Diceros bicornis minor: one gene and its partners. The protein of the gene in region 1 interacts with the protein of each later gene in a pairwise test. Links are inferred from orthologs where the notes say so. Each region holds a gene or a part of one and is shown on either strand. Other genes may lie near its edges.

Region 1 (3,744 bases):
TGGCCTATAGTCATCCGTGAGGTGACAGCCAAAGTTGTAAATGAGATCGAGGTGGCGTCGCTCCTGCAACCTGACGCCCACATCTCGGAAGGCATCCTGAGCCATGAGCTGGAGCTGCTGCCGGGGGAGGCCGAGGCTGTGCCGAGCAGCTGCCTTCTCCACAGCCCGCAGCACATCTCCATAGTCAGGGAAGGTATCGGGCCCTGGCTTGTTGATGAGCCGCTCGATGCGCCTGTTAACCTCTGGGTAGCGGGTGCCCCGATAGGGGATGCGCTGCTCTATGACCCGGCCCGTCAGTGAAGAGCAGTCTTTCAGCTCACACAGCCTCCCAAAGAGGCGGATCAGCTTCCGCTTCAACCTCGCCTCTTGCAGGTACGTGGAGTCGGGGTCGTCCAATTCTGACAGATCCAATTCCTTTTCCTGCAGCCGCCGGATCTCTGCCACGTAGAGCGCTAGCAGCTGCTCCAAGCGCTGGATCTGCCGCCGGGAACCATGGGTCCTTGGGGCCTCAGCAGCAGTAGTCTCGGCATTCGCGGGGTCCGAGGTGGGGTCTGTGGGAGGGCTATTCCCAGAGGGCTCGCTAGAGGTGTTGGCAGCAGGGGCCAGGTTCAGCTTCTTCTTGGCTGAGTGGGCCTTGAGAACAGTGCAGAGCTCATTAATGTAGACATAGAGCTTAGCCGGCCGGCTCTTGGCCCGAGACAGGACCCGAGAGAGGATGTTGCAGAACTCCGCTGAGGCCAAAAACAGAGAGTGGGCCCGCTGCTGCCGGTTATAGAGAAATGGGACCACCTCAGGGTGGTCTGCCGTCTGCGTCTTACACAGTTCAAGGAACTAGAGGGTTCAGGGGAAGAAGGGAGTGGGGAAGAGACAAGGGAAGGGATCAAGAGAAAGGTTAGTGGGGAAGAAAGGACAGGAGAGCCAGTCAGCCATCCCCCTCCCTGGGGTACAAGAAGAATCTTCTCCCCTAAAGCTCACCTCTTCAAACAGCTTCTCATTCTCCAACTTGTAGCATTTCTTGCCGCCCGAACTACTGCTTCCTCTGGCCCTATGGGGCTGGGAGGAGCCAGGGGCTTCTGCCCGGGGTGAGGCCGGACTGGGGGGTGGGTGGGAGGGCCCTGGCTGAGCAGCTGCTTCATCTTCGTCATCATCATCCAGCACGATGATGCTGTTAGCGGTGGCCATGGGGGATCAAATCCCCAGGAGGGAGGAAGTGTTGGGGATTTCGGAATTCCTGCTGGAAGGGGGTGGGGCCTCAGAAAGAGCCCCTCCAGCACAGCCCCATCCCTTCATCTCACACATTTTCCAATCTTCTTGGGTTTCAGTAACACCCGGCCCTGCCCAACAGTCTCCTCACTGCCTATCTTGAGCAACCATTGGTACCATATGCTTTCTGGCCGTTTACTACGGGAGCCCCACCCCCAGCTCCACCCCTCAAGTCGATATCCGGTCTTTCTGTTGCGTTTCCCCATTATTTGTCATAGTTGGCAAGTTGATTCCTCCCAACCCTGGACCACCCTCCCCACTGCACTCCAGATTTCCTTGACATCCCCTTGCACAGACACCACACCCCCGTCGGCACCACCTCACGTGTTTTCCCCCTTTCGCTCTCAGACACGTCAAATCCACACCCTCACCCCGTCCTGAAGGATCACCCCAACTCCTAGACTCTCTCAGGAGAGGGAGGTTCCCTCCCAAAAATCCACTCCCCTTTCTCCTACCTGAATTATCTCCATATTCTACCCTCTGATAGGTCTCCTCAAACCGGGGCGTTAGGTTGGAGATATTTCACCCCAAGTCCCCTCCCTCTCACCCCACCCTAATTTTCCCCATTCTCTCTCTGTGACCTGTAACCGACTGTGATCACCGCACTGGGCTCTCCCGATTCCCCTCGGATCCCAACCCTGGGTCCAGCCCCTCCCCCCTGGATGAGCTTCCCGCCAAGTCCCCCTCCCCCAGTTCAGCCCCCGGCGCCCCACTCCCCTTCAGAGATAGGAAGGAAGGTACCACAGCTTGCCCCTCAGACTCAGCGCCCGGGACTCCCCAATACCTCTCCCTCGACATTCCCGCCCCTGCCTTCGCTCCCCGCACGGTCCGGCCCCCACCTCAGAAACGGTCTCTCGAGGCGACCCTCTCCGCTGATCTCAGAACCTCGCATGGTTCCCTCCGCCTTCCTTCCCCCTCCCACCGCAGGCCCTACTCTGGACCGGAAGTCGCGGAGCTTCCGCCTACAGGTACCCGACCGCGGCCATATTGTCGTACGGAACCCAGCCGCTCCCGCCCCCCGGGCCGGAGGTGACGGTAGGCCCGTCCCCCGAGCGCCTCCCGTGCCGCCCACCTAGTCTGCGGCTCCCTTCCGGACCTGTAGGGGGCGGAGTCGTCCTCGCAGGGAGTCCCGGTGTACGTGGGGGCCGCCATTTTGCCGTACGGCATTGGCTGAGCTAGGACTTGGGCGCGCAGCCAGCGGAGCTATTTTCACCCAGTGCTTCTGCGACTCCGCCAATCAGAAACTTCCTGCTTCCGGCCCGGCTGCCAGCGAGTTGCGTGCGGGGAGCGCTGAGCCCCGTTTCCAAGCAGGCGGGGAACGGAACTGGACAGCTAAGGAATTGGGCCCTCCAAGGCTACACAGGGGTTCGCGGAAGGGCAGGAGTCGCTTAAAAGGGAAATAACCTTTTCCTTCCGCCAGGCTATAACCTTTCCTTTCCTTCCGGCTCTGCCTTCCTACGGTCAGGTACCCACTTCCACGGCTTAACCGACTGCGCCTGCCCCTTCCCTTCTACGGGCTGCGCGCTCCCTTGCCGCTGTCCAGCAGCTACTTCTCCGTTCAGGTGCCTACATCTCCCGATCGTGAAATCATAACACACGCATGCAAACGCGCTATACAATGTGTTGTTATTATTATTGCTATTGTTGTTGACGTCTTTTCAAGCTCCTCCACAGAACTAACGACCAACAAGCCGGTGGGACGTAGGTGGGTCTCTGTCCTTTTCTCAGGGGTTTCCCCGAGGCATAGGCGGTGATAACCAAGAGGCCGTGCTTTGTCCAGGAACTCCAGGACCTGAGTCCAAAAGATGTGGGACGGGGGCTTTGAGGAGAATCTGTGCAAATTGCCGCTGTGAGACGAAATCAGGCTCGTAGAATACCTCGGGTCTCGTCTCCTCTTTCTCTGGGAGAGCTGAGGGAAGAACGAAGAGAGAAGAAACCGACTTTGATGCCTGCCTCGCCCGCACCCCCACCCCGCCCAGCTTTAGAGAGGCTGGGAGGACTCGTGAAGGCAAGGCTGGGTCCAAAGGTGAGCGTATGGGGAAACCGGAAAGGTTAACACGGTCCTAATCGCTGAGATTCCCACCTCCTGCATCCTTGCGCATTCCTAAGTGGTGAGCATCTTGCCACTTTCTAGGATCACAGAGGCTCTTACATCCCTAAGCTCTCAGAGTCCCAGAACCTCAAACCCTCCCTTCCATTAAAGAATCCCACACCACTTCTCTCCAGTCGTCTAAGCCTACAGTCTTTAAGTTGGGGAACATGAAAACTCTCCAAAGGGTATTTGGGCTTAGAAGATAAAAGGGATTTAATTTCCAGATCCTCAATTTTCCCAGAATTGGTCTTCCTGAATAAACGCCAGCAGCAGAAGTTCTTCTTCTTCCTTTTCCCTTTTACAATAGACTGTCTCCCCCCACCCCACCCCCACCCCACCCCCACCCCCCAAAAAATATCCTTCTCAACCATGAAATCTCCTGGGGATAA
Region 2 (3,744 bases), on another chromosome or scaffold:
TCTTCATAAAATGGGAGAAAGGTGATTTTGAAAGGTGATCAATTTAAAAGAGTATTTACAGAATTTGGCAATCTGGAAATTTATGTCCTAACCCCCCTCATGCCTTTGGAAAGACTCATGTGCCCAGGGGGTCCCAGGCGGGGGCCCCGAGTTGAAGACCACAGCTGTGTCAGTTGGCCTTACTGCACCCAGCCAGGTAGCATCACTGGTCTCCAAGGCTTGCACCCCCATGACCAGGGGTTCAAGATGAGTCAAAACAAGACTTTGTGAATGTATTCCCTTCCTTTGTTTGTTTTGTAAAATGACATCCCCTAAAAGCAAAACTTGTTGGTTTTCTGTACATCTTAAATGTTTGTACCTTTCTTGGATCATCTTTGAAAATCAGTTTGGATTTCAGGAACAGGGCAATCTCAGCCACTAAAACCAGTTTCTTACTTGTTCATTGTACTCAGCATCCAGCTGCAGTTGTCATGCTGATAGAATATGTTGGCCCAGTGTTGGCCGTGGTACAGTCAAGCAGCGGTGACTATGAGCTCTCAGCCTCAAACTGCTCACAAAATGTCTCACCCGTACCTGCGTTTGCAGACAAGACTGCAGGGAAATTCGAGGTGGGCACACCACCTTAAATCTCTCTCCTTTCCAGCCCTCATCTTCCTGACTATTGCACACCCCCATCGGTCATGGGTGGGGTTACTGTACCGGGCTCTTCTCTCACTCCTAAGGTTGGGGTAGGGAGGGGAGAAACTGCCCAGGTGCAGGGGCTCTTCCCATTCTTGCCCAGGGCAGGTCTGTGTCCCCTCAAGTTCTCACTGTCCGTAGAGGTGGCTGGCTGGCTGCCTCCTCCACTCCAGATTTTAGGGAGTAGTAGTTTGCCTGTGGCTTCCAGAACTGGATGCCGTCTATTAGCAGTGTCACTGGAGAATCCTTGCAGTGGGGGGTGTGGCTGACATCAAACTGCTGCCCAATGGGTTTCCATCCTTGTGGGAAAGCTTCCTCAGCCCAGACGGCATAGAAGAGCAGGGATGGGAGGGGGGATTTAGCGCCCCCCAACCCCTACAAGCACAACCCCTAACCCTGGGATCACCTACAAGCACATCCTAGAGAATGTCTGATTCATAGAGTCTGTAATTTGTCCAACATAATTCAGTCTAGTTTTAAGAATAATCCTTGAAGGATTTAGATTTGCTTTTTCTCCTGAAAGTGTTTTGCCTTCCAAAAGCCCAGTGACATTTAAGTTTTTTACGATTAAAAGGGAAAACATCTTGTACTTTAGACCTAATGCTCGCTACCAAAACACACTGAGTGTCAGGAGGCAGGGAGAAGGGAAGTCAGGAAGAAAATGGGGCGCACGTCCACATGGAAAGGCTGGGGGACTCCCTGCCAGCAGGTCTGTTCCAAAATAGAAAGAGGACACGGTTAGACATTTTAGGAGTTGTTGGGGACTGATAACTGGAGGTTAGCATCACTTGACCCTGCTTCCACCAACTTGATTTAAAATTTGACCAAATAATTCCGAGAATCCCACGTGCACAACTCAGAGGCCACCAGCGGTGGGGAGCACAAATCTCAGCAGTGCCTGGGTTCCTTCTGTCAGTCCCCAGGACTGTCCTACCTCTCTCCATCCCCCCAAACTATGTGTGTCCGGCCCACTCAGTGGCACCCAAGCGCACAAGCTAGGGGGAAGTCGCTGAGTATTTCCCCTTCCGGCCGGAAGAGAGAGGGGTGCAACACGCATGCCTCGTCTCTCCCACCAGCCCCTCCTCCCGTCTGCGCGACTGTGGTACCCAGAACGTCCTCGCCAGGCGGGACCGTTCACTTGGACCTGCCTGTATTTAGCAGGTTCGGTGAAGACCCCTTGTCTCTGCACTTCCAAGGACCCCCCTCCCCCGACTGTTGACTTGTCTGGTTTGCCTCCCTAGCAGAAAATATAAAATGACGTCAAGCGATAGTCGGCGTCTGGGGTGGGCTCGGAGGCCACGCAGCAGTGGATGCGAAACTTTGTGCGCCCCCCCTTAACCGGCTCCCTCAGAGACCCCCAGGGCCCCCATCCCCTCCACCGTGCCACTTCCTCAAGCAGAAAAGCCGTAGGTCTGGGGGGCTGTTTTTGATGAGTCACTCAAGAACCTTGCAAGTAGAATCAAGCGTGCTCTGAGCCCAGCCGACATCGCCATTATTATTATTATTATTGTTATTGTTACTATTATTATTAATTATTACCTAATACTAGCCCCTGCAATGCCCACACCCCGGAGCGCTGGTCTCCGCAGCCAGCCGCCCAAACGCCCCTCTCGGAGCCCCGCTGGCCGGCTGGAGAGTGCGCAGACCCAGGAGCGCGACACTCACCTGTCCCCGCGCAGCGATGAGCGCCGGACGCCCGCCGCTCCTCTGCTTTATACCGCGCGGCGCCGCCCGCCCCCGGCCGCGGGGAAGCGAAACTCAGGGGACGCGAGGGCGGGAGAGCGGAAGGGCCGGTGGGGCAACCGGCCGCAGAAACGAAACCGAACCGCTGCTCGCCCCTGCGCCCCGCGCCCAGCTGCAGCCTCCCCGAGGCGCTCCACGTGTGCGATCCCCACCAGCAGCATCCGCATCCCTGGGAGCTTGAGGGAAATGCAGATTCTCGCCCCCCACCCCCCACCCCTCCCCAGCACACCTGCTGAACCAGAAACTCGGACTCAGGGCCCAGCAACCTGAGTTTTATCAGGCCCTTCTGACGATTCTGGGGGCAGTTTGAGAATCGTTGCTCTAACAGCTTCGAGTCATCCAAAGCTGAACGTAGCGTTGACCCTAGCGGGTCCCTTAACCCCTGGCCTTCTGAACAGATGCACTGATAATTGGGTGTCTTAAATTCCTGCTGGAGGTTCACTGGGGTCATTGGGGCACCAGCAGGGATTCTCAAGCATTCTATGTTAATAGCAGCTCCCCCCTCCCTCCCCCTCCCCAAGCTGACCCACATCATCCTCCTTCCCAATTCTCCTTGTCCATTTCAAGCCCTCCCTGGAGGTTGGCTCATCTGATTTCTCCAGGATGGAAATGGGTGGAAGGTGGGGGCCTGAAGTCACGCAGACACAAGAGCAGCCCTCCCTGTGGGGACTCTGTGCATGGGGAATAACACTTCCCTTTGGAAGGGCCTGGTACCCCACCTCCATTCTCCTTAGCTCAACTCAGAGTCCCTGAAGACAAGCCCCCACCCCACTCAAAGGCCTGGAACCTGCCCCAGCTCCAAGTTCTAGAGTCAGGGAAAGCCTGGGGGGAACCAAATTCAATATGGCTGCACCAAGAGACGAGGAGGAGGCCCCACAGCCAACTCCCTGCCTGGCCCGAAGTCACCTGGCTCTGCAGAGTCCATTGCTGGGGTCTGGGTGATCCCATCCAGGGTGGCCTGGTGGGAGGACACAGGCTCTCCCAGGAATTAGAGAGAAACCTTTGTCGGCTACTCACTCCTCTGGGCTTCAGGTACTTGCAGTTAGGAGGAAGAGTGACATCTTTTCCTGGTGGGCTGTGAGCAGGAGGGGTTAGAGCTTTCTGAAGGAGTAGAAGTGCCCCTGAAATGCAGGGGGAGCTGTGAGCAAGGCATGCGTGGCCCTAATACTCAACTCTGTGGAATGATCCTGCCTCTTCAGACCACAGGAGGCTCTCCCCAGTGACGCATGTTCAGGAATGAATTCAGACAGAGCCATGGGCAAAAGTGAAAACAAGGCGTGGCCACAGCCTGTGCCAGGGCCAGGATGAGGGCAAGGTGAGCGA
Region 3 (3,744 bases), on another chromosome or scaffold:
CCCCAAATACAGGAAATGAGATGCCTGTGAGGCCCAGCGGCCAAGATTCAGAAACTGATGCCCTGGCTGTGTAGAAAAGTGTCTATGCCACAGCCTGGTGCTACATGACTAATAAAAAAGAGATACAAAGAAATGGAAGCCTTTAATAACGGTGACAGCCTTTAAGGCAGTCAACTGCAAAGTAAAGGGTAGCAGACCGTCCTGCACTCCTGGCTGCAGAGAAAGGCCCCGCGGCACAGCCTTCCTGTGCCCCTCACAGCACAACCCGCCACCCTGTGGTGGCTCAGGCGTAGAAGATGAGCTCAGGGATCTGCCCACCCTGGACCCCGGTCCCGTTGGTGCTGTCTGAAGAGCACTGGAACTGGAAGGTCACCTTCCCACACTGCACTTCTGTCATGCCCTCCTGCCCAAAGTAGCTGAGTTCGCTGCCGTCCAGGACGGCACTGGCCGTGTAGAAGGTGTCCTGCTCGACTTGCACGGGGTGTTCAAACCAGACCGAGAAGGTGTTGCTGGAGCCGTCCGAGACAAACTTGGTCAGGTTCTGAGCCAGGACCACTCCCAGCCGCTTGAGTTCAATCTTCACGCTGTACTCGGCTTTCCCAGAGCTGGACCCGTACAAGCCCAGCCCCGCGATGAATACCCTTCTGTCCACGGCAAACTGGATGCTGTCGCAGCGCCCTCGGTAGCGCCACTGGTTGCTGCGGTAGGCAGAAGACTGGAAACGGTGGCACCTCTGTGGGGCGAGACCCTTCCTCTTGGTCAGGGGGAAGTCGAGGAGGGGCTTGTTGGCTGCTGTGTACCACAGGAAGATGTTGTGGGTCTCCTCCAGCGTCAGGATGTCCGACTGGGCAGCACCGTTGGCAAATTCCTCCAAGGTCATGGTTGGAATTCGGACCAGATGGAGGGCTGGCCCCAAAACGTGCCTCTTGTTGCGAGGGGTGACCGGCAGGCCCTGCCTCTTGCACTCTGCCTCGGCCCAGTTCAGCACGGCTTCAAAAACCACTGCCTCCTTGGTGTTGAGGGCCTCCCGGGTCACGATGATTTCCAGTGTCTGCCAGTCAATTTCACAGAAGCCTTCAGACCTCAGGGCCATCTCAGCCTGTGCATCAATGACCTCCCAGCAGCGCTGGGTCAGCTCGGGCTCTTCAAACAGCCGGCTCTGGGACAGCAGGACACAGGCGTTTTTGGCTTCCAGGCTTGTCTCCAGAAAGTTGACGCAGGCTTTTGCTAACGCGGGGACAATGTACTTCTTGGCAGCATAGAGCGTGGCCAGCACTGTGTCGGCTTCCAGATCGATCTCGTCACTGTACATGTACCTAGACAGGACAGGGACCACATCACAGGCTGCATGGGGCACGCAAGGCACCCAGGGCCTAAAAGACAAGCCCATCAGTCTTTGTGGCCTTCCCCTCGGAAGCTGCAGGATGCTGGCTGGGGGCAACCAGGCAGCAAGGAACCACCCCGTCCTTGCACGCTAATGGAGCAGACTTACTTTAACAAGATCAGAAAAGCTGCAGGCTCCACGTCGGGGATGTGGATTTCTGACTTGACTTCTGCCAGGTCCCCATAAAACATGGCATAGAAGACAGAGCTACCAACGGCCAAGACGTACTGTGGATGAGAGAGCGCTGCCCTAAGCCCCTGGTCCTCCCTGCCCCCGGCGGCTGCCACACCCCGGGGAGAGCACCGTACATACTCAGGAGATGGCTGGTCCCTTCGGGAGCTCAAAGGGCCCAGCCGCTACCAACCTTGTGAGCAGGCACCCTCTGGGCCGCGCCCAGGGGCCCCACAATGAAATGGACGTCAGCCATGAGCTCGTTGTTGAACATCAGCGCGTTCCTGCAAAGGGCAGAAGCACACGGCTCGGGGCTCGGGGCTCGGGGCGCGGGGCGCGGGGCGCGGGGGCTGGAGCCGGGGCCGAGCAGGGGTGCGGACGTGGGGCGGAGGGCTGGGGCCGGGCTCACCTCTCGCGCAGGGTCGGGTGGAAGGACTGCCAGTTGGGGCTCTCCAAGTTGTTGTTGTCCGGCGCGGGCGGCGCGGGCGCGGGCGGCGGCGGGGCGGGCGGCGGGGTGCTGGGCGGGCCTTTCCTGCCCGCGGCGGCGGCGTTGCTGTTGGCGATGTCCGTGGCGGTGGCGGCCGCGGCGCCAGCGGGCGGGTAGAGCTCCGCGGCCATCTTCGCGGGCAGGGCGGCCTCCGCGCGCCGGGGCGTTGCGCGGTGCGCCCTCGTGCTGCGCCGGGGTCTCGGGGGCGGCTCTGCGAGCACGAGGAGCGCGGTCAGGCACTGCGCCACCCGGCCGTGCAGACAGGCCAGGGGCAGCAGCATGGGGCCGCGGCGGCCGGCCTGCGCTGCTCGCTCGGGCCGCCCCGCTCGCCCGCCCGCCGGCGCCGAGCCCCCAGCCCGCAGCCCGCAGCCCGGCCGCAGGGGGCGCCGTCCACCCGCCCTCGCCCGTCGCGCCGCGTCACGGCGCGCCCCGCCCCCGCCCCCGCGCCGGCCCCGCCCCGCGCGGACGACGTGCGCGTCCCGGCGCTGGCCCCGCTCCGCGTGGGCGCCGTGCACGCCGGCGGCCCTGGCCTCTCCCTCGCGCGGATGACGTGCACGTCCCGGCCCCGCCCCTGGCGGTGTGCTCCAGGAGCCGGGCCTGCGGGAGGGGCAGTGAGGGCGGGCCCGGCAGCCTGTGGCTTCGCTGTCGTGCGAGCCCCGCGCAGGACCCGACGTGGGGGTGCCTTCCTCAGCGGACCCTTGCGGCCTTTGCTCCCCGCGCAGTGTCCTCAAGGGCGGGCGCGGGGCAGGGCGGGGCCGGAGGAGCTCCGGGACGGAGGGCACGGCGGCCGCCCGACCCCGACGGGCGCGCGGTTCTGCGCTCGGGCGTCCGCGTCTCCTCGGAGAGCCTGCGCTCGGTCGTCTGCCGGCGCTTGAGTCCGGGCTGTGGGTTGAGGCGCTGCCCGCGCGTTCCGGAGGTTCCCCCATCCCCCATCCGACACGTGGTTCGCACATATTTTCTCCCGATTTTAGAGTTTACATGGTCTGATTTGTCTACTTTTGGTTTTGTCGTCTGTGCTTTTGGTGCCTCGTCCAAGAAATCACCGCTACGTCCAGTGTCCGGAACCTCTTCCCCTGCGTTTTCTCCCAGAGTTTTTATGGTTTCGTGTCTTACAGTTAGATCTTTAATTCATTTTGAGTTGATGGTTGTAAATGACGTAAGATGAGGGCCGGTCTTCACTCTGCGCGTGTGGACGGCCAGTGTTCCTAGCCCCGTTTGTGGGAGCGACTGTCCTGTTCCCTGTGCAGTCCCCGCCCCGTCGGGACCTTGTGGCCCTGTGCGGGGGTCCTTTCTGGGGTCTATTCTGTTCTGTCGATTTTCTGTCTTTATGCCAGTACTCTACTGTTTTTTGGTTTTATCTTTTAAAATTCTTTTCCTGGTGGTGATAATTTGTTTATTTACTTATTTTTCTTTATTACTCTTTTTTGCCTACTTTAAATACTTTATCTTGTTTATTTTTAGTTTTCTACTTAACTGCTTAGTTTGTTAATTCTTTGTTAATTGAGTGTATAAGTCTATAAAGTTACTTAAAAGATTGTTTTTTAATTTCTTATTAGTTCGTTTGGAGGTGAAGGGGCTGTGTTTATCTGTCTCTTGCTGATTTTCAGTTTGTTTACACTCAGAGTGGTAGAGCGTGTCCCGTGAGATTTCTGTTCTCTGGGGCGTTTTGAAGGGTTTCTTTGTCCATTCGTAGGTGGTCAGT

What was found.
Region 2: the proteins of DAXX (region 1) and MX1 interact in a two-hybrid assay, tested with the Homo sapiens proteins (2 studies listed by BioGRID). The link is inferred for Diceros bicornis minor from reciprocal best matches to the Homo sapiens genes DAXX and MX1.
Region 3: the proteins of DAXX (region 1) and BTBD6 interact in a two-hybrid assay, tested with the Homo sapiens proteins (2 studies listed by BioGRID and IntAct). The link is inferred for Diceros bicornis minor from reciprocal best matches to the Homo sapiens genes DAXX and BTBD6.

Annotation. Positions count from the first base shown.
Region 1 is NC_080753.1:31,142,835-31,146,578, reverse strand, and holds the start of DAXX (death domain-associated protein 6), read right to left. Parts: upstream 2,612-3,744; 5' UTR 2,402-2,611; intron 2,198-2,401; exon of another isoform or gene 2,103-2,197; intron 1,235-2,102; exon of another isoform or gene 1,232-1,234; 5' UTR 1,183-1,231; coding exon 976-1,182; intron 832-975; coding exon 1-831. UniProt on the Homo sapiens protein: Transcription corepressor known to repress transcriptional potential of several sumoylated transcription factors. Down-regulates basal and activated transcription.
Region 2 is NC_080766.1:41,178,333-41,182,076, reverse strand, and holds the start of MX1 (interferon-induced GTP-binding protein Mx1), read right to left. Parts: upstream 2,393-3,744; 5' UTR 2,344-2,392; intron 1,786-2,343; exon of another isoform or gene 436-1,785; intron 1-435.
Region 3 is NC_080763.1:49,661,987-49,665,730, reverse strand, and holds the start of BTBD6 (BTB/POZ domain-containing protein 6), read right to left. Parts: upstream 2,365-3,744; 5' UTR 2,324-2,364; coding exon 1,965-2,323; intron 1,840-1,964; coding exon 1,749-1,839; intron 1,612-1,748; coding exon 1,493-1,611; intron 1,317-1,492; coding exon 284-1,316; 3' UTR 1-283. UniProt on the Homo sapiens protein: Adapter protein for the cul3 E3 ubiquitin-protein ligase complex. Involved in late neuronal development and muscle formation.